Linked DNA regions of Schizosaccharomyces pombe. The protein of the gene in region 1 interacts with the protein of each later gene in a biochemical or structural test. Each region holds a gene or a part of one and is shown in the gene's direction. Other genes may lie near its edges.

Region 1 (5,875 bases):
GACGAGAATGGGATACTACGTTCAGCAGGCCAATTGCATGAATTGATTGATGCAGAACTTGCTTTGGGGATTCCTAGTGATCGCATATTAATTGGCGGATTTTCACAAGGTATGAGCTGCCATGAAAGCGGTTAACTCGCTAGTCATTGCATTTTCAAAAAAAAAGTGAAATGGTTTTCACTTTTCAAAAGTATATTGCTTACTAACTCGTCATTTTCTCTAGGTTGTATGGTTTCCCTTTACGCTGGACTTACCTATCCCAAACGTTTAGCAGGAATTATGGGGCATTCAGGGTTCTTACCTTTGGCTTCAAAATTTCCATCCGCTCTCTCTCGAGTTGCTAAAGAGATACCCATTCTTTTGACTTATATGACCGAAGATCCTATTGTTCCCTCTGTCTTGTCGAGTGCTTCAGCTAAATACCTCATCAACAATCTACAGTTAAAATGTCTCGATCGACCTTTTGAGGGAGACGCCCACTCTCTCTCTTCAGAATCGTTTATGGCTATGTATAAATTTACTCAGACAGTTATTGGTTCACCATAAGTATTGTGTTTTTGGTGTTGAGACTTTGCAAATGAAGGAAATTGACGAGTCTTTTGCACTTTTAGAGTTACTCATAAAATTAAATAAGATTTACCGTGATTAACTTTTCCCTTTTTTAGAAAGCAGTTTCATACTAGTAACTTAAGACTATGAATTGTCATCCCATTTGGTAGGTTCTCTCCAACAGTTTTACTCATTTATGGCATTTTAAGGATTGAAGCATTTTGTTTTGAGTATAGATACTATGGAGTTTAGTTTTCATTTTTAGTAGCAATATTTCGCGACGCGTTCATTGTTTACATGTAGCTGCATCAAGTATAATACATGATTATGAGTGCATATACTCTATAGTTGAACTTGTAAAGTAATTAAACTAAAGAAACAAATAGATCTACTGTTTTTTTGTTGTGATTTAGAGAGGTAATTTTGGGAATTTCCGCAATATATATATCGTGGATAACTACAGCAATTCTTCTTTCTACATAGTACGAACAACAACCAAAAACCGTGTAATTTGATTAATACACGTTCAATATAAAAATAAAGTGCAATGGAAGAATTCGCAGAGGGGAATGATGATGAACAAATGATATTTAGTGACATTGAAGACCTAACTGCTCACGGTAAGCTTGAATGAGTATACGGCAGTTATAAGACTCCCAGTATTTGCTTTAAATATCTACTAACATAATCAAAGGGATTGGTATGACCGATATCATAAAATTGAAGCAAGCAGGCGTTTGTACGGTGCAAGGAGTCCATATGTCCACAAAGAGATTTCTCCTTAAAATCAAAGGTTTCAGCGAAGCCAAAGTGGATAAACTGAAGGAAGCGGCATCAAAAATGTGCCCAGCAAACTTTTCCACTGCGATGGAAATCAGTCAAAATCGTAAAAAAGTATGGAGTATTTCGACAGGATCCGAGGCACTCAATGGCATCCTTGGAGGGGGAATTCAGTCGATGAGTATTACAGAAGTATTTGGAGAGTTTCGTTGTGGTAAAACACAAATGTCGCATACATTGTGTGTCACTGCCCAGCTTCCTCGAGATATGGGCGGGGCCGAAGGAAAAGTAGCATTCATAGATACAGAAGGAACATTTCGACCTGATCGAATCAAAGCCATTGCAGAACGATTTGGTGTAGACGCCGATCAGGCTATGGAGAATATCATTGTCAGTAGAGCATACAACTCTGAGCAACAAATGGAATACATCACAAAATTAGGAACCATTTTTGCTGAAGATGGCCAATACCGTTTGTTAATTGTCGATTCCATCATGGCACTATTTCGGGTTGACTATTCGGGTCGCGGGGAATTATCAGAAAGGCAACAAAAATTAAACATTATGCTTGCTAGATTAAATCATATTTCTGAAGAGTTTAACGTAGCGGTCTTTGTCACAAATCAGGTTCAAGCAGACCCCGGAGCAGCAATGATGTTTGCGTCCAACGATCGAAAACCTGTAGGAGGCCATGTCATGGCTCACGCAAGCGCGACCCGTCTGCTGTTAAGAAAAGGTCGAGGTGAGGAACGTGTCGCAAAATTGAATGATTCTCCAGATATGCCTGAAGCCGAGTGCAGTTATGTGATTACACCTGGTGGCATAGCAGACGTTTCCTAATTGATTTTCTACCTATTCCAAAAAAAAAACAAAAAAAGAAGAGAAATAAGAAAAAAGATCAGCCAAGTTCAGCAATGCCTTTTATCATTGCGTTTGTGCTTATGTTTTAACAAAATTGAGTGCACTGATTACGTTAATGTTAACATTTTACTGCTGCAATACTATATCTTTAATACAATAATCAGTTCACTATTGGTCTCTAAAATGGCTTTAAAGAAAAAGTTTGGATGAGAAGCTCGCGCCATTTTAGATAACCAAACCAAGATTTTCTTAACTACACATTTATCAAATAGTTGCGAATGGCGCAAACCCCCAAAAGCAACTTATTCTTACGAGTCAACAAATTTGTTTAAGTAGTGTCATGTGAAGTTGCTATCGCATGTATCAATTAACAAAAGCTGAGCGCCTTTCATTGCAATCGTTGGACAATCTGACTTCCACCAAACAATTATATCGTGTGAGACAGAATTCGTCATCACCTTTGTTCCAGTTTATTTCCCGATTCTATGAAGGCCTGCAGATTTGCACGTGTTCAGGCACCTTCCTTTCGATGTTTACCTTTTGCGTCAATATGACAAAAGGGGTACAGTTTCTCTTGATCCGTTGCCAAGGATGTGTTTACCCCGGGGCTTTGTCGCAACAAACGAGAACAGTCCAGCAGCCAGGTTTTTCGATAACCTTCTGTCGTGCCGATAAATTACGATGCGCAGTCGCTAAATTCGACATACAGAAGCACAGGGCACGTTTACGCAGTGCTACGAAATTTTACTGTGGGAGCAGTCCTTTTTCTACCATACGACGTTCCGCAACCTTTCCAGTGCCAACCACCACGATATACTCACATTTTCGAACGTTTGGTAAAAATGTCTACTACTTCTCGTGAAGATGCTGTTTATTTAGCCAAACTTGCTGAGCAAGCCGAGCGCTATGAAGGTATGTGCTTTTATAAGGTTTAGAGACGCGTAGAGCAGAGATATATTTGGTGTTATTTCTGCAAGAACAAAATTACACACATCCAAGGTTCTATCGGCGGAAGCTTTTGAGTAAGCGGGCTTCCTGTAAAACATCGATTGCATTTATTTTTGACATAGTTGTGATCAGAGGCTTAGTTGGTAGAATGTTTGTGTTTGTGTGTTGTATGGTGGTTGTCAAATGAACTGTGCATTGGCTATGGTGATGTTGAAAAGGTGTTTTAGTATTTCAACTTGTTTCCTAACTTTATTTCTAATTGTTTTTACTCCGAGAAGAAATTTTTTTGTTCATACAGACATACGGAAAATACATCATGCTGCGCATCTCGAAAGTCGAAATCCTTATGTACTTATCACTAATATATCCAGGCATGGTTGAAAACATGAAAAGCGTTGCCTCCACTGATCAAGAATTGACCGTCGAAGAGCGTAACTTGCTCTCTGTTGCTTATAAGAATGTAATTGGAGCTCGCCGGGCGTCTTGGCGTATCGTTTCCTCCATCGAGCAAAAGGAGGAGAGCAAAGGCAATACTGCTCAAGTTGAATTAATTAAGGAATATCGTCAAAAGATTGAACAAGAACTTGACACTATTTGCCAAGATATCTTGACCGTTCTTGAGAAGCACCTTATCCCTAATGCTGCCTCTGCCGAATCCAAGGTTTTCTACTACAAGATGAAGGGTGACTACTATCGTTACCTTGCTGAGTTTGCCGTTGGTGAGAAGCGCCAACACTCCGCTGATCAATCTCTTGAAGGTTACAAGGCCGCTTCTGAAATTGCTACCGCCGAACTTGCACCTACTCATCCTATCCGCTTAGGTCTTGCTCTTAATTTCTCCGTTTTCTACTATGAGATCTTGAACTCCCCCGACCGTGCTTGCTACTTAGCCAAGCAAGCCTTTGATGAAGCTATCTCCGAGTTGGACAGCCTTTCCGAGGAATCCTACAAAGATTCTACTTTAATCATGCAATTGTTGCGTGACAACCTTACCTTATGGACTTCTGATGCTGAATACAGTGCCGCCGCTGCTGGTGGTAACACCGAGGGAGCTCAAGAAAACGCTCCTTCCAATGCTCCAGAAGGCGAAGCTGAGCCCAAGGCGGACGCATAGATAGCTCGTTGCTCATGATTGATGCCATACTTTCACTACTATGAACCAATTTTAAAAAATTTATTTGTCTAAGAGTTCTTTTTCGTTTAGATCTTGTGTACTACACGATGGAATAGTCTCATTACATTCTCGTATATTTTCTTCTAATTTTTTTTTCTTTTTGTCTTTCTTTAAATTTCTTTTTTTTTTACAGTCGTAGTATATGTGTGTATTTGGTAGCTGCTGTAAAAAATACAGTAGTTGGACGACATTTTAATTTCGAGTACACAACCCGTAATGATTTGCTTGGCTAAGTGGGTGTTGAGTTAATCAAGCAATAGTCTAGATAGATGTGAGTTTCAAACTGAAGAGTTGGTAGATTGAGAATGTTTAAGCCTATCGGATTGAATTTGAGCTTTTTGACTGATTTGCACCGAATTGCTTAATATTCCTTGCATACGACCGATGTACCACTTTTTACACAAAGCTTAAAAATTTGTATGTTCTAGTGATACTCAAACATTATTAAATATAAAAGCTTTAAGTTTGCATATAAAACGCACAGTAAACATTTGAATCGATGCCTGTGAGACCATGCATACATTTCACGCCTCCAGAAGGATTTATGAATGATCCCAATGGTCTGGTTTACAGTAATGGAAAATGGCATTTGTTTTTTCAATGGAATCCAACAGGAAACCAAGCCGGTAATCAACATTGGGGCCATGCAGTGAGTAAAAACCTGTATAAATGGAAATTACTACCTACCGCCCTTGCACCTGGAGACGATCATGGATTAATGTTTAGCGGAAGCGCAGTGATCGATAAAACCAACTCATCAGGCTTTTTTGAAAGTGGATTTTTTTCGAGAAAGTCGGTTGACCCTGAAGAAAGAATTGTGTTGATTTATACAACGCATTATGATAATCGTGAAACTCAAAACATTGCCTACTCATTGGATGGAGGTATCACATTTATCAAATACAAAAAGAATCCCATCCTCGACATCAAGGAATCGCAGTTCCGCGACCCAAAAGTGTTTTGGCATGAAGAAAGTAGAGCATGGATCATGGTTGTAGTGTTAGCTCAAAAATACAAAGTTCTGTTTTACCATTCCCTAAACCTTCGCGATTGGGTAAAACTTTCGGAATTTGGTTCTGCAGGCGTTTTAGGATACCAATACGAATGCCCTGACTTTGTTCGTCTCCCTATCGAGGGTACCGACGAGTTTCGATGGGTACTGATTGTTTCCATTAATCCTGGTTCTTCGATCAATGGGGGTAGCATGGTTCAATATTTTATTGGAGATTTTGATGGTCAAACCTTCACTCCAATTGATAGCGCGTCCAGAATTTTGGATTGCGGTCACGATTGCTATGCCACTCAAACGTTTGGTAATGCACCCGATGGAAGAGTCATTTCCATCTCTTGGGCAAGTAACTGGAACTATACGAACGATGTTCCTATGCGTATGAAACATCGAGGTATGTTTACTATTCCTCGAGAACTTACTCTTTGCTACACCCATCTCAATCAAGAAACGCGTGGTCTTGTGCTACGTCAACGTCCAGTTAATCTTCACCATCTTTACTATCCAGATTCTCTACCAGCTCCACTTTTGTTAAACCGTGTCTGTGAATTTCC
Region 2 (8,781 bases), on another chromosome or scaffold:
GTGAGTATATGTTCCAACTACAAAACGGAGCATCGGTGACTAAAGTATGACAATTGAAGCCTAAATCCAGTTATACAAAACCCAAAGTAAGTTATAATAAGCACCCGATCCTTTTGCTTTTTCTATTATAATTTAATTGAGTCCTAAACCACAAATTCTCAAATACCAAGTAAGAAGGAGAGAGTAGCAAAGAATTTGCAGGTGTAATGAAATTTTAAAGTAACAGCAAGAAGTTTCACTTTATGTTTTTCTTCAAAACCAATGAAGAAAGATTTTTAAATTGCTGAAATTGATTATAGAGAATGAATATTAATAATAAATACCTTATTTTGTGTGCTTTTGGTCTCAAATTGATCAGATTGCTAATGTAAACAACTAGTGTTTCAAAGTAGCAAGCTCAAGGAAGAAAAAGACATACAGTAGCTTTTACTTAAACAAAGAACCTTCCAAGCACTAAATCTTTTCTTGTTTCAATTTTCACCCTGCATGTTACTGGTATGGTTTCATCAAATATTATTGTAGCGAGGTTTCAGGGATTAGCAGCTCCATTACAAATGTTCAGACATGATCTATATCCCCTTCTTTATAAGATTATATATCTGAACAGTTTCACATAGATTTATTATAAAGCAATAGAAACTGAGGTCGAGCTTTCGAAATCGAATAATTGTTTATAGATTTATTTTTTTTATCTTGAATATTTCCAAATTTTATTTCAACATTTATCAAAATCTGTTCACAAGCGTATTTTCCAGGTCATACGTCCGATTGCAGAGAAAGAGTAAAGCAGCTGACAGCCCCAAGGCAGAGCGGACCAACAAACATTCTCACGTTCTTCCATGCAATATGTCGTAACTTAGAAGAAGTTCGTAAATCGTTTACTAAATTGAATTTATTTACTTTTTACAAGAAAAACGAGTTGCTCTGTTGTATCGATAAATAAAATAGAGAAATTCACAGGTACTCATAATATAAAATTTCGTTACTGTAGTGTTTGTATAATGATGTATTGTGATAGATTTTTGTCACATAAGATTTTGGTGTGATGTGCCTTATTCCATTCGTTTCTTTATCAACGTACAATCGCGCTATCTTCATATAATAAATCGGCAAATTCCAGTAATAAAAAATAAGGATTTGTGCTAGTAATCACTATTGTACTTTATTTGAAGCCTATTTCTGCCATGAGTCCTTTTGGGGCAGTATAGGTAGGTAAAAAAAGTCAAAGTCCCATCATGCTCTTTGACAAACTCGTACACTTTAAGGGTTGTTAGGAATATATATAATAAATGTTTCTAATTCCCTTCCTCTTAAGTTTTACGTTCTACAGTTTACATTTCTATCCTACGAAGAAAGCAATTAATTATGATTGACATCGGTAGGGACGACGATATAATTATGAAGCTGCACCGATTTTTATTACCAAGGTTCTTCAAATTTTTTAAATAGCCTCTAATATATTATTGAAGAGCTTCATTCTTTCAATACTTTGTTAAGTCTTTTGATGCTTTCCTCTTCAAATCGAAAAATTCAGCGCACGTCGTTAACGAATTTTAATGTCTTCATTAAAATGCACAAATATACGTAAAAATAGTTTAATGTCTTCGGTATCTATCGTTGTAGCGGTTTATGTGTTGCTGCCAATATCCTTATATAGAGTAAACAGTCTTCCTACCATGCGTGTCTGAGTCGTCCACTAATTCAAACAATTACTCATGTTTCTAGGGCGATTGCTATTCATTGAGTAGTTTGAAGAAATTCATTCTTTCCAAATTTACTTTGTTGCTCCATGTTTACTTATTTTCGCCTTTTGCTCGTTTCGTCTATTTTCGTATGCTCATCATTTTTATGTCAGTTGTTACTTTGTCCACGATTTATGGTTGAAGTAAGCTTGCCCGGTCGATTAACGATAATTTATAAAATCAAAAGAATCAGTAGTTCAAACCAATTTGCTCAAGAGCGCTACTGTTCTTGGATCGCCACCTTTCGCTACTTCTTTCTTCTTATATCCGATGTAAGAATCTTCTTGTGGGTAAAAACCAACTTTCAAAGCAAAGAGAAACACATAATTGCCTGTCAAAAACGAATTTTATTAATAAACAGTAATTCACTACTAATTTTGTTTTGCCAAATTTTTCGTTTTCCATCTTACTTTCTCATTCCCTCCAAACTTCTTGTTTAATCAATTCTTCATACACTCTTATCATCGATTGTATAACGTCTTCGAACGCACTACGCTAATGAATTTTTCCTATATACTGAACACGTCAGTTTACTTCCATCGTCCGCAAGTCATCGTTTTCAACGCGAATGGTCTATTCTTTCGTTTCTTGTGATAATTGACTGTTCAATCGGCCTTAGCTTTATACCGAAATTTTATAAATCTATTTATTCAGCTTAAGATTTCATCGTTCAAGTCGATATTCTCTTTGATACCCTCTTTTGTCTTTGTTTGTTCCTTTTTCACACTTGCTGAGGCCATTCCTCACGATATTTAGGAGTTACGCTTTACCTAACAAACCATTTTTTGTCTACCATTTTGACACTCATTTTCTTTGTTCATTTCTTTCGCAACTCACTTCCTTGGCGAAACTGGTGGTTTTCGCCTGTTCTACTCTAGCTAGCTAAGCTCCCTCTCCCTGTGCATTCTTAGCCTACCTCTTTTTACCGATACAACGAATAGCGCTCCGTATATATCAGTTTGCCAGCTTGCGGATCGCCTCGGAATTCAAGTATTAGATATTACCAACTAACTTTGTTTGTTAAGTGAGAATTACGTTCTTATCATTCATTACGGTAGAATCGGGATTTTTATAAGCAGGCCTTTTTTTTTCCTTAATTAACGAGGATCTACCACTGATCACTTTCATACTTCCTCATTCCTTGCGATTTTGACATTTGAGGAATTAAAATTCCTTTTGGGGCTGACTGTTTCGCGGCGATTTTCATTTGCCGCCTAACTCTTTCGCTTCTGACGGACCAGTCTTCTTTTTTTTCCTTTTCTTAATTTTGTTGGTTTTTCGTTCACTTCTCGAACCACAACCTTCCTTAATAAGACGCTTTTTTTATCCGTAAACATTCGTTTTCCCGTTTACTTCTTTCTTTCTTCTTTTTTTTTGGGGTTTCCTTCTACTTATCTTTTGGATCGTTTCCTGATATCTTTAAAGGCAACCGTTTTTATCAGTTGGGGTCTACGTATTTAATTTGGATTACGAATCTTGTGCCTCGTTTCGCCTTAGCCAGTCTTTCTTTGCTAGCGACTTCTTTTTTCGTTCGATCTCATTGTTTCTTTTTATATTCTTTATTTTTTGTTAACCCACTGCTCCTTTAACTTTTAATACTTCTTTTCTCACTACCCTTTTCGTGTCATGGATGAGGAGTTTGAAAATGACTTTCCTTACAAGGTGATGCTTAATCAGCAACAGGATCCTTCTGATGCGCAATCGAGTCCTACATTTGTTCCTTCTGCAAACCCTTCCCTCACCACTCCTTGGTTACAAACCACTCCCTCTGCTAATCGCCCCACATGGCTACCGTTACAGCAGCACATGCATCAGCTTCGACACACTGGTCTTTTACCCGCCGTTGAATCGTCCTTTGTTCATGGCCATCGTCGAAGTGCTAGTGCTGGCGTTGGTATGGGCAATTTTTCCAACCAAGCCACTATTCCTTCTAATTCTCCAGCCGTTTCTAATATGCAACCACCGACTCAAGGCGGTCAACCCTTATACCCTACTAATTTCTTCACCACTTCGGTCTCTGCCTCTTCAGATTCCTTCCCTAACAGTCCGACCGTTCCTTCAAAGTTTAGCTTAAATCCATCAGTTGCTACATCTACGAACATTAGTCCAAGGCGGCATGCAAAAAGCCATAGTGTTGCTTCTGTTTCCTCTCCCAATTCCCATAACGCCGTACCGTTTACTCCCCATGCGTTCGTTCCTCCAGTCAACAACGCATCTCCTTTACCAGCCTTGAACACTTTACCACAATTATTGCGCCCTCGTAATTTGGATGCTCAATGGCGTCCTTCATCACTTTCTCAAACGAATAGTCCTACTCATGCCGCGAATCCATCTTTTCCTGGGACTATTGTAACTCATAATACCTCAAACTTTCGTCCTGAAGGCGGTGGTCATCGTCATCGTCGATCGACTGGCAGCTTAAGTGTTGGCTCCTCTGGCTCTGGTTTTTCTTCGGGAGGTTCAGGTAATCCCCGTAAAAATCTTTTTTCTCCTTATTTACCACAGTCATCGATTCCTGCTCTACTCGCTGAGCGTCGTTTGGTAACGGGTATTTTAATTGTAAGTAAGAAAAATAGATCAGACGCTTTTGTTAGTGTCGATGGTTTGGATGCGGAAGTATTCATATGTGGTTCGAAAGATCGCAATCGTGCCCTTGAGGGTGATGTCGTTGCCATAGAGCTGTTAGACGTTGACGAGGTATGGGCTGGTAAACTTGAAAAGGAAGAGAATCGAAGGCGTAAAGACCCAATTTCTACTAGAGGCTCTTTTGACAACCTTCGAATTGACGCCGTACCGTTTGAGGTTCCTCAGAGGTCTGCTATAAAAGCAAGAGATGATGAACAAGTGGAAGGGCAGACCCTGTTCCTTCTTGACCAAAAGCAGCTTGGTGCGGACGAAAAGCCAAAGTATGCTGGTCATGTCGTAGCAGTCTTGCAGAGGGCGCCAGGCCAGGTATTTTCTGGTACGCTTGGCATACTTCGGCCAAGTAGTGCCGCTAATAAGGAGAGGCAGACCTCGTCGGGTAATCAAGGCTCTTCCAATAACTCGGGAAATGACAAGCCCAAAATCGTATGGTTTAAGCCATCTGATAAACGTGTGCCTTTGATTGCAATTCCTACTGAACAAGCACCCACAGACTTTTTGGGTAACGATCAAGCATATGCTCAACGATTGTTTTTAGCTTCTATAAAGCGTTGGCCTGTAACTTCTCTACATCCTTTTGGTATGTTGGTTGGTGAATTAGGATCTATGGACTCTATGTCTGCTCAAGTATCCGCTTTATTACACGATACGGGTGTTCATAGTGAACCATGGGAAGGATCCGCCGCTACATCCGCCGTAACTGCACTCAATGCTTTATCGGATAATTTTTTAAACGTTGCTGGTTGTGCAGATTATCGATCTGAAGATGTCTTTTTATTTGTTAAAAATGACGTTAGCAAAGCAGCCGTTTCAGAAGTCAAGCAACATGAATCAAACATCAATTCTAGTTCTGCTACTGATTTCGTTTCTTCTGCCTTTCATATTCGACCAACTTCAACTGGTTATCATGTAGGAATCCATGTTACTGACGTTTCTCGTGTTATTGAGCCAGGATCCCCATTAGATCGCGAATTACAGCGAAGAAGTATTGCGGTGAATCTTTGCCAAAAGTCGGTTCCTTTGTTTCCCACTACGTTAGGTGAGGCTTTATCTTTACGAGAAGATAAGGATTGTTATACAATGTCTCTCTTACTGGATGTTTCCTCAACTGGTAAAATTCGTGGCACTTGGATTGGATGGGCTGTCATTCGTCCTCGCAAGGCATATACCATGAAGGAAGCTGATGAGTTGCTTCAAACTGATGCTAGACTTCGTTTATTCCATACCGTAAGCAGTCGCTTACGAACTCATCATCTTGGTACAGACGTGCCACTCAGCCGGTATTGTAGGTTAGTACGTCGATGGGATGAAGAAAGCTGCAGCTTTGATCCCAATGAAACGAATCTTTTTATTTCCTCGGCGGTTGAAGTTTTACGTGAAACTCTTTTGGATGCCGCTAATAGAGCCGTTGCAAGCCACTTGCGTCAGGAATTCCGTGAAAATGCATTCCTTAGGACTCAGCGATTGCCCTCTCGAGAAAACTGTCGCATATTACAAAGTATGGCCATTCAGATGGGATGTGTTTTAGATTTGTCTTCGACAAAATCACTTTTACGCTCTTTAAGTTTGATCGAAGACGATACTGTTCGTAACATTTTGCAGCTTTATTATTATAAGGTTACCCCAAGAGCAGTTTATGAAATGCAGAAGTATAAAGGCAATCTCGCTTCCCAGATGATGAGTCTTGGTATTGAGGACGAAAGTGACGATTTGACACATTTTACAGCACCTTTGGAACGTTATGGTGATATTGTAGTTCATTATCAACTGCAGTTGCTTTTGAGAGGAGAACTGGCTTCTGAAAAGCGCCTTCGTGTATGGTCGCAAGCGGCAAACGATGCAAGCCGTCGTCTGGTTATAAGCAAATTTGCGCAAGAAACTAGCATTCATATAAAAATATTTAGTGACTGGGCGGAGAGTCAGGTTTGGCAAGACGGTCTCGTATGTTTTGTTGCTCCATCATATTTTGACGTATTTTTCCCATCTCTAGGCATGGAGAAACGTGTTCATTTAGATTTGCTCAATCTAACCCACGTAAGGTTTGAAGAGGACCAGGGCATTTTATCTTTATACGACGAGAGCGGAGCCGTTACAGTTGTTAAATTGTTGACCTCTGTCAAAGTTAAGCTCTTTGTGCAGCTTTCGACTCCACCTCTTATCAACGTTTCAAATGTCGAGTTTTGATGTTGAACTTCGATTGTTTGCAATGTTTATTTCATGTATGTGTTTTTTGGTGACACATGTTCATTTTCGGATGCCTGGAATGGCTTTATATTCTCATTCATATTATTGCTCTTATTATTAGGCATTGTTGATAAAAAATATGTTACGATTCTAAAACTGCATTTTTTCCCATTCTTACTTTTCTCTTTAATTTCGACGAAGCTGTTACTTACGTCTAATATTTGTTTCTGGAGATTTACAAGTTTTGCATAGCCAAGGAGCTCGAAAACTCGGTTTAATCTTATACACTAAGATGCCGATTTTTTATGTTATATAACTAAAAGGATGATTAAACTTGATTACGATAGTTCACGATGATAGAGTTGGATGAAGGAATCCAGTAGTCTCGATACGTGATTTTATGAGTGCATGAGTTGATGATACCTTGAACTTTTCCTTTTTTATACATTAGATTGGATTTTGTTTCAAAAATGAAATCCTGCTTTTATATTGATACATGTCACTTTGTTGGCTTACCAGTAGATGAAGTGTCGTTTGCGTTTGCAATCACTGCGGCGATTAGGCAATCAGAAGTGGATTCTTATCGGTCGTTTGGGGTTAGCTGAGTCTTTTATTTTTTGTTTCTTTTTTTAAAATGAATCTACTATTGGACGACATCTTAGCAATTTTCAGTTGATTTTTTGCAATTTAAGTTCATTTCTTACACAAAATATTCAAATTTATAGTTATGAAACGTATCCGGGATGTGTTAGTTACTCATGTCCTATTTTATGATATGAAAACGGCATAAGATATTAAAAAGAAAAGGATTCTACAAATATTCTTAGTGATTACTATTTTTCATTTTTAACGCTGCCTTGTTATATCGGCTTTTGTTTACCAAGTGTATTAACTCGATATCGAGTATATTTTGATGTATACGCATGCTATACTGATTATAAAAAATTATTAATCCACAAAGTCTTAGAAATTATGAGAACTAAATGAAATACTCTTTAAAAATAGAAAAAAAGTTAAAAATATTTATGTTTCAAGTTAAACAACAATGTAAGGTTCTAGTGGTAAAGTAAGTATGTTTATTATTAGGTCGCGACGCGAGAGTACTTCGTATTTTGACAACAACACACTAAAAGTCAGAAATCAGAAGGCTATAATTTTTTATAGCACTAGAGATTTTGGGTTATTTTATATTAGAACCTTATAGTTTAAGGGTATAATTGCTTTTTTCCAGTCCTTTAAATTGTTTCGGTCGATAGGATTGATTCATGGAGAAAACATATGGGAAAACTGTATTGCCATTGAGCAGAGTAAAGAGGATAATAAAGCAAGATGAAGACGTACACTACTGTTCTAATGCATCTGCTTTGTTAATTTCAGTAGCTACTGTATGTGTGTTGTTGATAAATCAGCTATCTGGGCGACTTAGCACCATTTTGATTGCATAAAAGAAAAAGAAAAATAAAAGCTTACCTATTTTATGATTTAGGAATTATTTGTTGAAAAGTTAGCAACAGAGGCTTATCAACTTGCCAAATTACAAAAACGTAAAGGAATACGATACAGGGACGTTGAGGACGTTGTACGTAAGGACGATCAATTTGAATTTTTATCAGATTTGTTTTCTATATAATTAAAAAGTGTGAGAACTGGAAAACGGAAGCTTAAGTGTTTCCTTTCTTGTTCAGAAACTTCCTCATGAAATGAAAGGAAACAATCATCTTGTCAGTAAAATGTGATTTAATGAATTTTATTTGAGTTTTCTTCTTCGTTTTCATGCTCTTGTGTCTTTTTATCCACAATGCGCATTTTCAAACAGCTTTATCAAACAACTACTGTAGCTATTTGGATAAAATAGAACACATGTTCTCTTAAATTGGGTTACCTGATTTTTCATGTTTCAATCATGACTAATTTGCGGCCTTTGTTAGCTACATCTATAAACAATCTTAATGATTAGGAAATGGTTAAACGTTTGAACTCGATTGAAAGATATTGAAAAGCTACCAGCGCCCATCTGTATATTCTTCATTTAATTCCTTTCTCAATATCATTTGGTTCATTTATTTAAACAAAAATGCAGAGAAGGTCGAGCTTCTTTATCTAATCCCAGCGATGCAGACGTATTGCTTGCTTCATGGTTATATTCTATACCTCCGCTACCTTGCCGTGATAATGCCGTAATCGTACATTACTATACTCGAAAACTGATTTA
Region 3 (7,460 bases), 2.9 Mb from region 1:
TGAGACTCGTATGAAGCTCGATTATGTCTTGGCACTTCGTATCGAAGACTTTTTGGAGCGTCGTTTACAGACCCAAGTTTTCAAGCTTGGTTTGGCTAAGTCTATCCATCATGCACGTGTGTTGATCTTCCAACGTCACATTCGTGTTGGTAAGCAAATTGTCAATGTTCCTTCTTTTGTTGTCCGTTTGGATACTCAAAAGCACATTGACTTTGCCCTCTCCTCTCCTTATGGTGGTGGTCGTCCTGGTCGCTGCAAGAGAAAACGTCTCCGCTCTCAAGAGGGCGGTGAAGGAGAAGAAGCCGAAGAAGAGTAAATTAAGCAGGTGTGACATTCTCTTCTATACATTTCTAAATGGGATTTCTTCATAGCCGCTTCTATCTGCCTAATAAAGAAGTTTGTTTGATTGCATAGTGGTTAATTTTGTTTTGTGAAATTTTAATTATTGTACTTAATGTGTAGATTATAATTATGTAAGATTGTAGTGTCAGTTTATTTCATATGAGTAATATGATGAATTTGTTGTTTGTTTTGTAAAAAAGCTGCTTCAGGTAATAAACGGATTTTAAATAGAAGGTCGTTGATTAAGTTTTTCAGGCTTTAGATGGTAGTTGAGCTTCTACGGATATTAAATGTTAATTACTTCTATCGCTCGAATGGATAATTATTCAAACATCGGAGCCATTGCAATATGCTGACCTTTATTATTTGAAATCCATTATTGTATTAATTATGATATTCCCGTACGTTGCACATTCAGCGCTATTGTAAAAACTGAGTAGGTAATTTTTACTACACCAAAATGTCGATATTATTCGTCAGCTACGAACTTTGATGCTCTAAGTACTTATATTTATCCTTATTATAATAACCTTACCATTTTTTCCTACTACCGTTGTTTTTAATAGTTCCGCTGCTGAAATCACCTTATTGAACATGTGATATATGGCAATGTTGCATTCGTCTCTTCTTATCCACTACCACAAACCTTCTTGAACTGCTATAAAGGAATACACCAGCCAGTTTCTTTGGTCGAGATAGAAAGATTCTTATTTATTTCGTTCGTTTAAACAAACTAAACATAGAACAACATTATTTGCGTCAACACAACATGACTTCACATCAAACTGGGAAAATTGAGGTGCACTGGAACGATCCTTCTTCTGGTATCTTTTTAAGTCAAACTCAACGAACGTCTTCCACATCAAGTTTAAAGAAATCGGCTTCGAGTAGACGTTTGGTTTATGGTGATGACATGCTGGCACCCAAACCGTTAGCTGGTCAAGTACTTAGTAAATCACCACTTCCTCCTTTTTCACCTTCAAAAATTATGAACAGGAGTATATCTGTTCCTCCCACGAATATCTCTGTTCCTCAAATTAGCAGTAATCCTCTCAACTTGATGAAGAAAAGCAGTGACAATGATATCTTTACCACGTTTAACGATACAACAAACGATTGTATGAACGAAGCTTCTTGTGAAGATGTCAGGCACTCCCTATTGCAAATTATAGAAAGTAAATCAAATCTTAGTGATTCTGTTCATAAGATGTTGGGTGAACGAGTCAAAACGAATTTACTATTACAAGGTCAACTAGAAAACATGGAAGGCTTTTGGCTACAAAAATTATCGCAAACATGTCGCTTGGCGTTGACAGGAAACATTAGTGAGGCGAAGGCATTTATTGTAGAAATTATGTGTGCCGGTGTTGTAACTAATTGTGTGCGCTGGTGTCCAGTTTTGAAGACTCTAATTGAAAACCTTGCTATCTAGCTTTACATGTTGTTATATATTTTCTAAATCTTCCTGCTGCAAGTTATATGACACTAATGCTCTTTTTTTCTTAATTCTATCATTTTTAATGATGTTACTCATTTGCATTTTAACAAACCATTTATAAGCATGATTAGCTATGTCGGACGCTAACGAAGTTACAAGTTAAAGGATTTAATAACACTTCCTTTTTGAAATTAGAAGAAATCTTAATAGATATAATGGAAGTTTCCATTTTTTTTACAATATATATTTTTCTTATGGCCTGTCGATTAATAGTATTTTTAGTTTAATTTACTGAAACATTATATTTGTTTTTAGTGAACACCGTAGAATATTTAGGAATTTTGACTAGGTCTGTTTATCATACACACTTAGTATTAGATATCGTGATTTTTTGAATATATGAAAAAAAGTACTACAGACAGAAAATGCAGCGTATTAGCCTCAAGTAATTATTAAAAAAAATAAAAATTTTCTTTTAAAATTATACAGTGTTTACCAAAGTTATGTAAGACAATCAACTGCCGCTTCTCTCTCATTTCTGTTTATATACATCTTTAATGTTTATTACTTATTAAAAAAAAAAAAAAAAAAAAAAAAAAAACAAAGCAAATTACGTGCATTACCAAGAAAACAAAACCGCTCTAAATATTTAAGCTAATTAAAACAATGAAATAACAAATTTATTAACTTGTAACCGTAACAGTGGAATTTATTTTAACTGCTGTCATTTCTAGAATTTCATAAAGGGAGACATGAATAAATTTAACCTTATATTACAAATTGTAAATACGTAAATGTTTATCACAAAATCGAATACTCAAGTCATATTACTATGTACCTGTGCAAGCAACCATTTGTAAACCAAGTACAAAGGTAAACTGCCTCTGTCCGCGGTTGGCGCTCAAAAAGCTGAGCCAAGCCTATTTTTGGCAAACTATTTTTCGTGGGTGATTACGTTATGCATTGGTAATGAAGATAAGGAAGTGGAAGGTATTGAAAGTGGATTAAGAAGAAGTTGGCGCCAAATCTCCAAAACCTGTGCTTTACCAACAACGTTACCTAATAAAATTCATGTAAACAAAATTTCCAAAATTGTCATTCATTTTATTGTTCTCCAAATGTTTTCAATATGGAGACTTTAAAAGCAGATCTTTCGGATATGTCCGATTCCGTATGTCCTTATACTTGATTTGAATGTGTGTATATGTGTTAACAATGTTGATCAGCCTGAGTACTTTGAAACCTTGGCAAACAGGGATTTACCAAGATTGCCTGGAACAAGCAAGCTTCATCGAGCTGCATGTATTAAACGAAAATCTATCAATTTAAGCCTTCCTTCTAACAGTTATTCGCTTTCTTACCGACAATCAGACGACACTGATGGCGATGTTTCAGAATCACAGAGTGAATACAGGTTGAGTAGTGGAAGGAGGTCTCGAGCAAGCTTTGCTCGTGCTTTACAAGATCCCCAAACTCCAAACACTCCTCCCGTATCGTCTCAGCACCGAAGATTCTTTTCGGAGGGCTCCTTCAATTTGCCAAACTCCAACATGAGCCACTCATTAAATGGGGATTCTACAGCCTCTAATAGTTCTACTTTAACCCCTAATCGTATTTATGGGGACCGCAATCGTCAAGATTATGCTCAGTCTAGCCGATATACTTTGCCTTCGTTGCCTAGTTCCCCATCATATAACTGTCCTACAACACTTCGAAAAATACATACAAACACGAGTAGCAATGGAACTTCACGAAGAGTTAGCGGCCTAGGGTCTTTTATGGCACAGAATTCCTCTGAAACTAGCAGTAACAGGACTTCGGCGTATCTACCTGGTAGCTCTACGGATGAACAAGAAAAGCGTTCCAGTGTGACTTTGGCAAGTATGCCTTCCTCTCATTCGTCTACAGCGTCCCTCCTTTCACCTCTTGATACTACTTCTTTTTCTACTAAGTTGGACTCTACTATTTTGGCCTTGGAAACTGATGAGTCTCTCAGCCGAACAATTTCGTATGCCACTACTTCTTTACCGAGCACACCAGGTAAGCGTTTATCAAAGGAATCTCTTGCTATGTCTGAAGCCAGTTCTATCAATCCAGAATATAAGCGTATTAAAAAGCGTGCAAATTTGATTAAAGAGCTGGTTACTACTGAAGCTGCCTATTTAAACGATCTCATTGCGATTCAACAAAGTTATGGCTTGCGGGTCAAAGAATGCAGTGCATTGAATCCAGTTGACGCCCAAACAGTTTTTGGCGATATAGAGTCTTTATTAACTTTTACTGTGGAATTCCATAGTCGACTTTATCAAGCTGGTGAAGGCTCCTGGCGTGTAAACTTGGATACCCAGCTTATAGATCCTCTTCCTTGCAATTTAGGTCTTATTTTTTTAGAAAGCCTTTCTGAAATCGGTCAAATTTATACTGGTTATTGCAACCGTCAAGATTCGGTTTTCAAAATTATCACTAAATGGAGAGAGAAACCTGCAACTGCATCCTGGATTATGGAGGGTGATAAAATAGTTCAAAAATACACGAACGCCTGGGATTTGGGTAGTTTAATAATTAAACCTTTACAGCGCTTACTCAAGTACCCCCTATTATTGCAAAAAATCATTGATGTTACTCCTGAAAGTAGTTCTGAGCGCCCAGATTTGGTCCTTTCTTATCAACTATTACAGGAGTTAATATCTGGTATAAACCAGAAGCAGAAGCCTTCTCATAAGCGTGGGTCGTTAAGTGCTTCTCATAAACGAGACGCTGCTTGGAGTTTACTCTATAAAGCAACATCGAATAAATCTAGGCCCACCACTACATCTACTGAGTTAAAAACTGATGCTCGATTGAATTTTCAACGCCAAGTGCTTCAAGATTTTCGACAACGATTCGCTATATTAAAAGCCTTACATGCTACATTGGAAACGTGGTACGTTACTGTACATCGTGGATTTTCGGTTTTTGAAAAGGTTTTAGCAGAGCTTGAAGGGCTTAGTGCTTTAGAGCCCGAAGACAAGCCGGTAGATACGTGGCGTAAGTATCATTTACTTGCGCACATGATGACTGCTAACCTTCCTTCTCAAATACAAACGTCTTTAAATTCTTCTATCCTTAACCCAATCACAAATATCCTACGAGTGATTCAAAAAGTTATTCAGTTCATTATCAGCGCTGAATTTGTGATTCCTGCTCAAAAGCTTGAGGCAATTTCTACTCTTGTTGAGAAGGAATTTCACAGTGTTGTTTATCATTTTATTGGTATTCAACGCTCTCTCTATGAAAACTACGCTCAAGGTTTCTTGTTTCTTATCCCTCAAGACATGAGGGATAGCATCTTAGAAGAAACGCAAGATTATGCAGAGTTAGTTCGAGCCTTTGAACCCATGCATTATGATGACGAGGTATTGCTGGAGGAATTAATGAAAAGTGTCTCTTTAGCTGCGAGGGTTTAAGAGCAACTTCTTTAGTCGAATATTTTTTATCTGTTCTATATATATACACATTTAGATATACTGCATTCATGTTACTTGAATGATGAAAACGTTTCTCTGGACCATGGTTTTTTGCAGCTTCCATGTATTTAACATCACAATTACATTTATTTAACCTAATATCTGCGTTTGTCTGATTACAATTCGTTTAGGTTCTTTTAACGGTCTTTTTTTGTCTATCACAGAGGCCTGTTAAGTTTAGTTTCAAATTAGGATTCTAAACGCTTTTACGCCTTCCTTTTATGCATCTCATTATTTTTGTCTGCTCAAGTCGAGCTATTAATTATTGTCTTTTCACTTTTTTTTTTTAAACTAGGAACGTTTTGGCTTTTCTGCTGTTATGCCATTTTATTTGTTCATACGCTTCCACTTTTCATTTATATGCTTTAATAATGTATATAATATTTGACTTTCACTTTAACTATGTTTTATGTTTAAAATATGTAATTAGGTTTTGATTGAATTAATTTTGTTCGTCGTTATTTATCCTAGTTGACTAACAAAAACAGGTCAAATTCTTACATTCGTAGTAAAACCAAAACGTAAATAAAAATACTTACGATGAAACAGTCTGGAACCATCCGATAAAGTGCAATGATAAGTACGATAAATAACCTTTTAAAAGTCACACTGTTAATTACGGCAAATACAAATTTATTATACAAGAAACCAAAAAATTTATTTTTATAAAACTGTCTCAATAACCTTCATTATAGGTTAATGAGAACGACGAGAACGGACGGCAGCAGCCAACTGTTCAAAAACGGCGGTAGTGTCGTCCCAACCAATGCAAGCATCGGTGACACTGACTCCATATTTCATACTTGACAAATCATCCTCAGGTATAGCTTGCTTACCTTCGTTAAGGTGAGATTCGATCATGACACCAGTAATTGCTTTCTGACCGTTTGCCACCTGCTCAGCAATACAAGCAGCAACCTTGGGTTGATTCTTATGGTTTTTAGATGAGTTTCCATGAGAACAGTCGATCATGATACTAGGTAGCTTGTTGCATTCTTCGAGTTTAGCCTTGGCACCAGCCACTGAATCAGCATCGAAGTTAGTCCCACTTTTACCACCACGCAAAATAATGTGTGTATCAGGGTTACCTGTAGTAGTAACAATGGCTACAACACCCTGCTTTGTGACAGACAAGAAATGATGAGGGTTGGCAGAAGAATTCATAGCATCTATAGCAATACCAATGTTACCGTCAGTAGCATTCTTAAAACCTATTGGAAAAGAAAGCCCTGAAGCAAGTTCTCGATGCAATTGGGACTCAGTGGTACGAGCACCAATAGCGCCCCAGCAAATTAGATCAGCTAAATATTGGGGACTTATAGTGTCCAGCATCTCTGACGCTATACCGACACCAGTTTCCAGAAGCTCCAGAAAAATGCGTCGAGCGACACGAATACCCTTATTAATGTTATAAGATCCATCCAAATCGGGATCATTAATCAACCCTTTCCATCCAACAGTTGTACGAGGCTTTTCAAGATAGGCGCGCATAATAATATGCAAGTCCTTCTTGTGCTTAATAGCCTCCTTTTGCAAGCGAATGGCATACTCCTTGGCGGCAACAGGATCGTGTAAAGAACAGGGTCCAACGATTAGAAGAAGTCTATCATCACGTCCCGCAATGATATCGGCGGCTTGGCGTCTTTGATCCGACACAAAAGCAAGTGTTTCATCAGAGGCTGCTAATTCTGATTGAATTAAAGCAGGTGAAATTACTGGATCATAGCCTTTGATACGACTATCTTCAGTTTTACAACGTGAAAAAACACTGTCGCCAGGAAGAAGAGGAGTGTGCTTGTCCATCTCTTAATGATTTTCTAACTTGTAGAAGACAAGCCATTAGTATAATGTAGTTCTCAAGACATCTGTAATAAAATTTTTTAACGAGATCAATTTTCGCTACTTTAGATTACGAGTTACAAACTACTGCGCTGTCATAAGTCTTGGACATTATATTTCCAACTATCAATAGAAACTGGTAAACAATATCCTTTTGTAAGCATGTATTATTAAAATGAATGCTTCAATTTAACATTTCGAAGTCTTTTCAAAGTATTAAAGTAAGTATAAACTATTCCTGCTTAACAAAACGACTATCATGAACAAATGCAAAAAAAAAAAAGCATAAGAACGATAACTTTTATTATTAGAAGATAAATTTTATTACCCTAATA
Region 4 (8,065 bases), on another chromosome or scaffold:
TTCTCGCTCATTACCAGTTTTATCGAATTGCTCTCCAGCAAATCGGCTATTCATTTAATTGTATTTCATCCATTCGCTCCTCCTTGAATCTCCTCCAACTTCAAACTAACCATCCCCTGAATTCCTCCACTTCAAGGAAATAGCACATTCTAACGTGAACGCAATCCAACAACGACTAATGGTGTAATAATTTGCAACCTAATATATTTTTTTTGTACGTCAATTTAAGACACATTCATCGTCAACAGCGAAATATATAAAATGAAGTTGCAACGCTCAACCGGAAAAGTGCATCCGGCAGCATTAGAGTATGTGGTATAAAGTGTACTATTTTTAAGGTTGTGCGTGGGATTTCAAGGTAGGCTTAGATACTACTGAACTGGAAAAAAAAAATATGTCCCTAAATGTACCAAGGCAACGTTATTTGAGCTTGTTGCCATCATAGTTACAAAATGACCATCACTCTTCTCACCTACAGTTGTGGGCGCCCACTTGAAAAAAATACGTATTACACAGAGTAAGGTAAGACAAAACAAGGAAGTTGTAAAAAGTGCGTTTCGTTCTTAGTTGCATAATAATTCATGAAATTTGTAATTCTTTTTATAGATAGTAGATAGGAATACAACACTAAAAAACAGTACACTTGTCCGGATAAGTTGTCGCGTATATATCATTACATTGTATGGTTGCTGTTGATTTAATTTGGATGGTACGAAGTTTGCCGGCAAGTTGATACTGAGCAGCGCCATTTGAGATTGTATCGTAATCAGATTGGTGGCTGAAGCAACAGTAGAAAAAAGAATGGTTTGATTTCGCAGTTGAAGAGAAAATGTCATTTTGTTGAGAAAAAGCCCCGCTTCAAAAGTGGACTCGGCTCTAGAGCAAAAAGTTAATCGGCAAGTTTATTCGAGTAGAATAGGAAGAAGTAGTAAGATAGAATAGATACTAGAGGAGAATGGATATGACAATAAAATGGGTTGGTAGAAATTTAATAAGTTACGCTTGTAAAACACTATAGCATTTTTAAAGATACATATGGTCAAAGACACATATGATCAGAGATATACATATGATCAAGAGTCACCCATATATAGGATGGTCAATTTTTTCACCAAATTGTTTTTCTCCATTTTTTTCATTTACTGTCTATCCAACATCGATTAGCCGCAATGAGGGATTATACAAGTCAACAATGATAAGCACAGTTGGCTAGCAGAGTCCAGTTCCAAAAGGATGCAATTTTGGTGATATGTAAGAAAACATTCCACAATACAATTTGTGAAGTTTTTAGCTATAAATTTATCGGTTTAGGTTATTTTCAAAGTATAGTCGTTTTCAAAAAATTATATTCGTTTTCAAATTAAATTCGTTATCGTTCAGTAGTAACCTTTTTCATTCAAAACTCGTCTTCATCTATAACTAATCTACATCTTCATCTTCATCTTTACCTCTACTTTCTCCCATCTCTCCTTCCTATCGTCTCCTTCCTCTCTGCATCTTGCCGGCCGCCATTTTCTGACTCGGCGGGTCATCCACCTTTTAAGCTCAACCTTGTTTTGCTGGTCGCTCGCTCAATTCTTACAAAAGCCCAGGTTAATAGTGCGATTGGGTGATATGCAATGGAAATTAGCGCATATCTCAAGTTGTACGCACACATACGCTAATCTGGCGGCAATTCCTATTTTCTATTACATTGCATAAGTCAAAGCTACTTTGCACAAATTCAAGTAGCATTCATTTCCTTCTCTAAAATAATGTCTAGTCTTTGGACTTTTATCGTTTTCAATGGTTTTATTTCTTTTTTCCATTCCATTTATTTTTTTTTTGAAATTTTCACCTTTCTCAATTTATTCGTCGTTCTTTTTTTAATATAATAAGATTATACTTTTACAGCATACATTGTGTCTCACATAGTCTCTTCCATCGCGTTTCCCATTTTATGATCTTGCTAAAAAAATGTCATTCTTATGCAAATCACCCTGTACTACCACAGCACTTACCTTTCCGACATTCTTGTTCTCCATCTTACATGTCTATCACTGTAGCGATAGATTATTTGTGGTGCATGCCATCTCCAGGGATGATGGAAGGGAAACACAAGCACCCACGCCTAATTTTCGGTAAATTGTAGCAAAATTCCAATGGCAATGACTCGATAGAATCATTGTATGTGTGTGGTTTCTTTCCTTCCGCTCGTAGTACCTGTATTTTTCATCATGACTCCAAGTCTTCGCCATTCTTATTTCACTCCCGTTCCGTTCACCCCAAACTACTTCCTCATCACTTGCTTACTACTCAAACTGCCGGCACTTGTTTTCACACATTCGCTATGCTTTTTTATTCTTTTAACATTTGCTTAAACCTTACCTATAATACCCTGCGGTTTCGCAAATTGCCGCTCTTCAAATGCCCGCTTACTCTATTTTGCTTTCTCCACCCCTCCTTAACTCTCCAACTTCCCCAGCGTTCTACAATTCCTCATTCATTGGAAGACTAGTCGTTGGCTTCTTGTCATTTTGCCTTGCGCTATCTCCCTCAACGAAAAGTAGCTTTGCGAGACTTTTTGCCAAGTGCCACACTAATCTTTTGTACAGGGGGGAATCCCTGACTTTGTTTGCTGTGTTACATCGTTTGTAGGCAAGTAAAAGTGACAAATGCTTTCGCATCATATGTTACTTTAACCCCTGTGAATTTTGTCCCTTCCCCTCATACACATTTTGGCTAGACTTAAAAAAGTTGAATTTCTTTGTTTGATTTTCATTGTCAGTAACATCGCGTATTACGCCTCGCTCTATACTCTTACTAGTTGGTTGCCAATGCGTATGTATATATATATATATATACATACATACCTGGTGACTTACATAGTGAGAATCTATTCATTTAGCATATATTAAAAGGATATCCAGCGTTGAATTGTTTCGCGTCGTATATTGGATTTTCTTTATTATCAAATAAACAAAGCATTATTAGCATTCTGACTTTTCAATCTTAAACCTGATTGTGAATGCTAAAAGAAAGTATTTCATTTGATTAGTTTGCATTTTATTTTTCTTTGAGAGCTTTTGCCTCGTTTTTTTGTTTTCTCTTTGTTTTCTTTTTTTTTTTTACTCAACTTAACTTAACTTTTCTGGTCTTTGTCTTGATTGCAGCTTGTCGTCTTTGAATTAGCTTGCCTCCTCCCATTCTTTCCTGTCTATTCGTGTTAAGTCTATTCCTTTATCTTGGTTTGCTTTGGCTTAGCTCTATTCTTTTCTTTGTTTTGACTTTACTTTGACTTATTTTCACTGACTATTTCTAAGTTTAATTTGTTGATTAATTTTTATTCACATCTCTTCTTTTCTTTATAGTAAACAGACTTAAACTTTTTTTTCTTCTTCTATTCTGTTTCTTCATTTTGTTGGTCCAATTGGCTTCGCTTCTCTCTTCAAACTTTTCTCGTTTTTCTTGCCTCTACGTTCTTTTGGGATCCTCCTCTGTTGGAATTGTTAATTGAGAAGTGTTGGAATAATTTTTTCGTTTCTTGAAATCAAAAGGATTTTATCTTTTTTTTTAATTTTTACGTCGATTCCCTTACTGTACGTCGAATCCCCCCCTTTTTTTTATTTTTTTTCTACGTCAAAATTTTTTTATATATTTCTTTGTCTCTACCACCATAGTTATCCTTTATCAACTTTCTCTCTACTAATTAACTAAGTTGTTTCTTTGTTGCAATTTTTGCCCAACTTTAAATTTTTTTTATTCGCATCGTTATTCTATCGCTTGGCTGCTTATCCTTGATATCTGATCTATTAGATTTTCATTCCTCATTTTATTTTAATATCCTTTTTTTAACGTGTTTCTTTTGTGATTCCATTAGTACACACCATTCAGAATTAAGTTGCATTCACCATCGGTCTTTGTTGGCTCATGTTATAACATTATTTCTCCCCTGTCATTGTCGCATTATTCACGTATTCATTGGTATTCCTCACTTTATTTGTATACCCAAAGTTTCACCATCTTACAGAGCTCAACCATTCTTCAGTTATCGGTGTCTCTGAAATTTCTCCCTTGTTACGCCTTTTTATTTGACTCACTTTTCCGTTATTTAGTCTTCCGTTTCGTCTGTTTTTCCTGTTAACTATTCCGCTCTTTCTTGTTTTTAGTTTTTCCTCCGTTTTATATAGAGAAAAAAAAGCCTTAGAGGCTCGTGATTTTGTTCTCGTTTTCAAATCTCCTCAACTTAAAATTAGGCTTATAAGAAAATCACTTTTAAAGCTTCAATTTTTTTCTTGTGGCCTTCTATTATATATCACTTTCACTCCTTCTTCCACTTGGACCTCTACTAATTGTCTCTTTCAAGTTATCCTTGATTCAATCGCCTTTACGAAAAATATCCTTCATCATTCCAACTCGATCTAGTAACTTTTCAGTCTCAACTTTCATCTTTTTTTTTCTACGCTTCTTTACATTTTTCAAATCGGCTTTGAGTGTTGCTTCTGTTTTTTTCTTCTTGAGCTGGAAATTCCATTAGTTTCATTTATTATTTCATTACCTTACTTTTTTCGTTTAGGAAAAACCTGGCATCAAATATACTTTTGTCACTTTTTTCTTTTTTTTAGTCCAGTCAGTCTCTATTCATTAAGCTTGAACTTGATTTCTTTGGCGAACAAGCTTGTTTAATATCTAGATTGACGGAAATTTTATTTTCATTTATTTGTTGATACATACAAGGGAATTTTACTTTTACTATATTCATCTGTTACTTCACTGTGAATAATTTGTTCATTTTTCATTCTTGTTAGTTTGAGATTTCTTTCTATCTTAATACCATTTTTCTTTTTTTAAATAGAAAAAAATCCTTCACACCAGTTTTTATTCGGTGTTTATTTCTTTACTGTTTTCTGATCTCATCCCCTCTCCCTCGGTTTGTGCTGTTCGCTTCTTTTCTACTTCGTTCTTTCTGACTGCGAACTTCATTTATGTTTGCTTTGTTCTTACTGAATCATCTTTCTAATTAATTCTAAGAACCGTTTCATTTGTTTTATTTTCTCCCTTACTTTTACTACAATTTTTATATTTACTCTTCTCTACACAATGTCTGCTTCTTTAACAGCCGAGCAAAAGGACCAAAAAAGTTCTGTTAAGCGACCTTTAAACAGTTTTATGCTTTATCGTCGAGATCGCCAAGCTGAAATTCCTACTTCTAATCACCAAAGTATCTCACGTATCATTGGTCAGCTGTGGAGAAATGAAAGTGCCCAAGTCAAGAAGTATTATTCTGATTTATCCGCCCTCGAAAGGCAGAAACATATGCTGGAAAATCCCGAATACAAGTACACCCCTAAAAAGCGGTCTACTGTTCGTAGACGCCATAAAAAGGTATCACCTTCTTCCGGATCTTTTGTGGCCTCGGATTACGTTGTACTGCAGCAAATTGCACAATCTTCTAAGACTCTAAAACAGACCGAACCCGAAAAGCCTGTTAATGAGGAGGAAACTTTAGCAGCTTTATTAGCTCCCGCTCTTTCATATCCAAAGTCAGGTAAATCGAATCTTATTGAAACCAGTGAATTGTCTTGTCTTTCGTCTTCCCCAATGATTCGAAGTCATACAATTCCTTCCTTATCCTTCACCGATCAAGTTTCTACAACTATTTCTACATTGGATAAATCCGAGCAAGCTCCTAGTTCTTTGGGCATCTATTATAGATCACCCAGTAGCGGTAGTCCAATCGGGCGAACAAAATCTGTGTGTTTAGCTAATAAAGCCCGAATAGTACCGAAAAGATCAATGTCATCTGATGGCTGTGTTGACAAATCTTATCAAATGTCAAAAACACCGAGCTTGGAGGCGAACTTGCCTCAAAATTCAAGCAATTGCTCTGCTCGAAGAGTTCCAAAATTTGATTCTAAAGGAACCGTGAGTGAGCAAAGTAACTCTGATAGTCCAGAGCTGTCAGCCGATAAAGTGTTGTCTCATTGTAGTCCTATTGATGCTCGACCCTCAACTCCCTCTTGCCCCAATGCCAGTATATCACCTAAAACCCCGAATACCGGTGATCATTATGGTTTTGATGGAGCTGAGTACCTAGGAACTCCTCTCAGTGTAGGCAGCACTACTGCGTATTTATACGGCCAAGAGACCGAACTTTTATCTACGCCTTATTGCCATACTTCTTACCCAGCAATGAGTCGATTGAACAGCAGTTCTGGCTATACATGCGTCTCTTCGTCTAGTGTTACCAATTCTGGACATACTGAAAATAATACCTGGAGAAGCGACGAACAAAGTAAAGGCTTTGTTGACATTAATAGTTTTTCTCAAAGTTTGTTCTCAAATGGCAATTATGAGTTCGCCGCTCATTCTCAAGAATTGGATGATTTATTTTCACAAATTACGGATTTTACATCAACTGATCCTATTGCTTCCTCACTCAAAGATGCTAACTCATTGGGACCTTCTCTTTTAGAACCTTGGTTGCCCAATTCTAATTTATTTTGAAAATATTTCTATGCAAACATGGCTTTGTTTTCAACAAACGATCATTTTTAACGCGTCACAAAAGCATGCAGCTGATTTGTTCATGTCATGCTTAAAAATCTATATTTTTTTAATTTTGCATATCTTTGTTATGCTAGATGATGCCTTCCATAATTTATTTCATTTACCTTTTAAACTCTTTAATTATTCCCTTTTTATGTTTATTATAGGAATATGTGTATACTTAGTTTCCAAAGAGCACATTGGGCAACATTGAATAGTTGCCCACTAATTTTCTTTTTTTTTTAATTTTGAACAATGTCTTACGTTATGAATTGATTTCTTACATCTAATTTCCTGTCATCTAATTTGGGCCCGTTATTACATATATATTGTAGTTAAAAAAATATATATTATATCGCAACGTAATTTCTAATTTTTCTCTTCCATTACTTTCGTAAGAATGTTAAGTATATATATGTTCATTATTTTCTTTACGTATCAAGCAATCATCCAATGCAGTATTGTTATCACCATTTCACTAGATATACTATCGATGAAGGTTTACTTGGCACCCACACCTACTGGGGTAATGTAAAGATAACTCAACCAATAAATTGATTAAGAATAAAGGTAATTAAATTACCTGACAAAGAAACTTATAGAATTCATTCGGTTTCAATGGCGAAAGGTATCTATCTATAAATGTTTATAGCATTCGGCATTCAAATATTTCATGAAAAGCGACGGATTTAAAGAAGTAATGCTATCAAAAATCGATCAATTATATTTTAAAATTATAACGCAAGTCGTAAGAATCTTTGTATATGTTGGATTGCAAAACTGTATTATTTAAGAATGAAAACAAAAAGAAAAAGCCTTAACTCGTCTTTACCCACTAACAAAAAAAAAAGAAAAAAGTTAAGTTTAGAAACAATGAAACTCTTTAATTAAAGTAACGAAAAAGAGCCACAGGTTTTAATTAAAATGGAACTTCTTCGAAAACACATAATAAATGCTAACAAAAATTACTCCAGGAGGAATTAAGGTGGACACTGCATAGCAGTAATTTTCTCTGTCAAATCCATCGCACCCAGAATTTCTGAATGATGCCGTTGGTGTCTACTATATACAGGAGGTAAAGCCGTTGGAATTCGAAGTGCTGGAGCGAGACTTTCGACACCCAATAAATACAGACAGACTAATGAAGTTGTTTTTCTCTCAATGTAAGCCATGTAAAGTTCATGTTTTAGTTCGGGAATACTTGCTAAACCATGCTCATGTAACAGCTGTAAAACCTTTAAATTAAAAGGCGGTTTGAAAACATGAGATCGGATTGAAGGCGTTGAGGGAATAGAGGTTAAGGGAATAGGCAGATACAAACAAAACGAATTTTTTTTTAACCAGGGAAATTTTGCTGCTTGTTCTAAAGAACAGCGCTTCCGTGGGTTTACATTCAGCATAGCTGCAATAAGAGAACAACAATCTTCTGAAATGTAAGAAGGAAACTCCAGTTTACCCGACTTTATTTTTGAATGGAGCATAGGAACGGAAACGTCGTCAAATGGGACTCGTCCACAAACCATAACATAAATCACTA

Evidence for each region.
Region 2: the proteins of rad24 (region 1) and sts5 form a complex in vitro, tested with the Schizosaccharomyces pombe proteins (one study listed by BioGRID).
Region 3: the proteins of rad24 (region 1) and gef1 form a complex in vitro, tested with the Schizosaccharomyces pombe proteins (one study listed by BioGRID).
Region 4: the proteins of rad24 (region 1) and ste11 form a complex in vitro, tested with the Schizosaccharomyces pombe proteins (one study listed by BioGRID).

Annotation. Positions count from the first base shown.
Region 1 is NC_003424.3:3,381,236-3,387,110, forward strand, and holds rad24 (14-3-3 protein Rad24), read left to right. Parts: upstream 1-2,991; 5' UTR 2,992-3,032; coding exon 3,033-3,102; exon of another isoform or gene 3,103-3,301; intron 3,302-3,509; coding exon 3,510-4,252; 3' UTR 4,253-4,450; downstream 4,451-5,875. Other genes in the region: SPOM_SPAC8E11.04C (palmitoyl-(protein) hydrolase), read left to right, coding at 1-109, 224-546; RecA family ATPase Dmc1, read left to right, coding at 1,097-1,169, 1,244-2,169; inv2 (beta-fructofuranosidase), read left to right, coding at 4,812-5,875. UniProt on the Schizosaccharomyces pombe protein: Acts in cell cycle and stress checkpoint signaling by sequestering signal transducers regulated by the checkpoints. Required for the DNA damage checkpoint that ensures that DNA damage is repaired before mitosis is attempted.
Region 2 is NC_003421.2:676,994-685,774, forward strand, and holds sts5 (Dis3L2-like 3'-5'-exoribonuclease), read left to right. Parts: upstream 1-2,841; 5' UTR 2,842-3,368; coding exon 3,369-6,569; 3' UTR 6,570-7,090; downstream 7,091-8,781. Other genes in the region: p21-activated protein kinase inhibitor Skb15, read right to left, coding at 1-33; DNA polymerase epsilon Dpb3, read left to right, coding at 7,835-7,954, 8,056-8,199. UniProt on the Schizosaccharomyces pombe protein: Required for the maintenance of cell shape during interphase. Required for localization of cortical actin to the growing tips before mitosis.
Region 3 is NC_003424.3:468,349-475,808, reverse strand, and holds gef1 (RhoGEF for Cdc42 (Gef1)), read left to right. Parts: upstream 1-2,818; 5' UTR 2,819-2,909; coding exon 2,910-2,951; intron 2,952-3,006; coding exon 3,007-5,226; 3' UTR 5,227-5,828; downstream 5,829-7,460. Other genes in the region: rps901 (40S ribosomal protein S9), read left to right, coding at 1-316; SPOM_SPAC24H6.08 (uncharacterized protein), read left to right, coding at 1,112-1,774; SPOM_SPAC24H6.10C (phospho-2-dehydro-3-deoxyheptonate aldolase), read right to left, coding at 5,983-7,089. UniProt on the Schizosaccharomyces pombe protein: Has a role in the control of cell polarity and cytokinesis. Involved in bipolar growth, via modulation of cdc42-shk1-orb6 signaling, and septum formation. Stimulates guanine nucleotide exchange of cdc42.
Region 4 is NC_003423.3:3,980,507-3,988,571, forward strand, and holds ste11 (DNA-binding transcription factor Ste11), read left to right. Parts: upstream 1-2,869; 5' UTR 2,870-5,079; coding exon 5,080-6,486; 3' UTR 6,487-6,894; downstream 6,895-8,065. Other genes in the region: serine/threonine protein kinase Ppk25, read right to left, coding at 7,509-8,065. UniProt on the Schizosaccharomyces pombe protein: Key transcription factor for sexual development. Activates the transcription of the matp, matm, mei2, mfm, ste6 and rgs1 genes. Binds specifically to a DNA fragment carrying a 10-base motif 5'-TTCTTTGTTY-3'.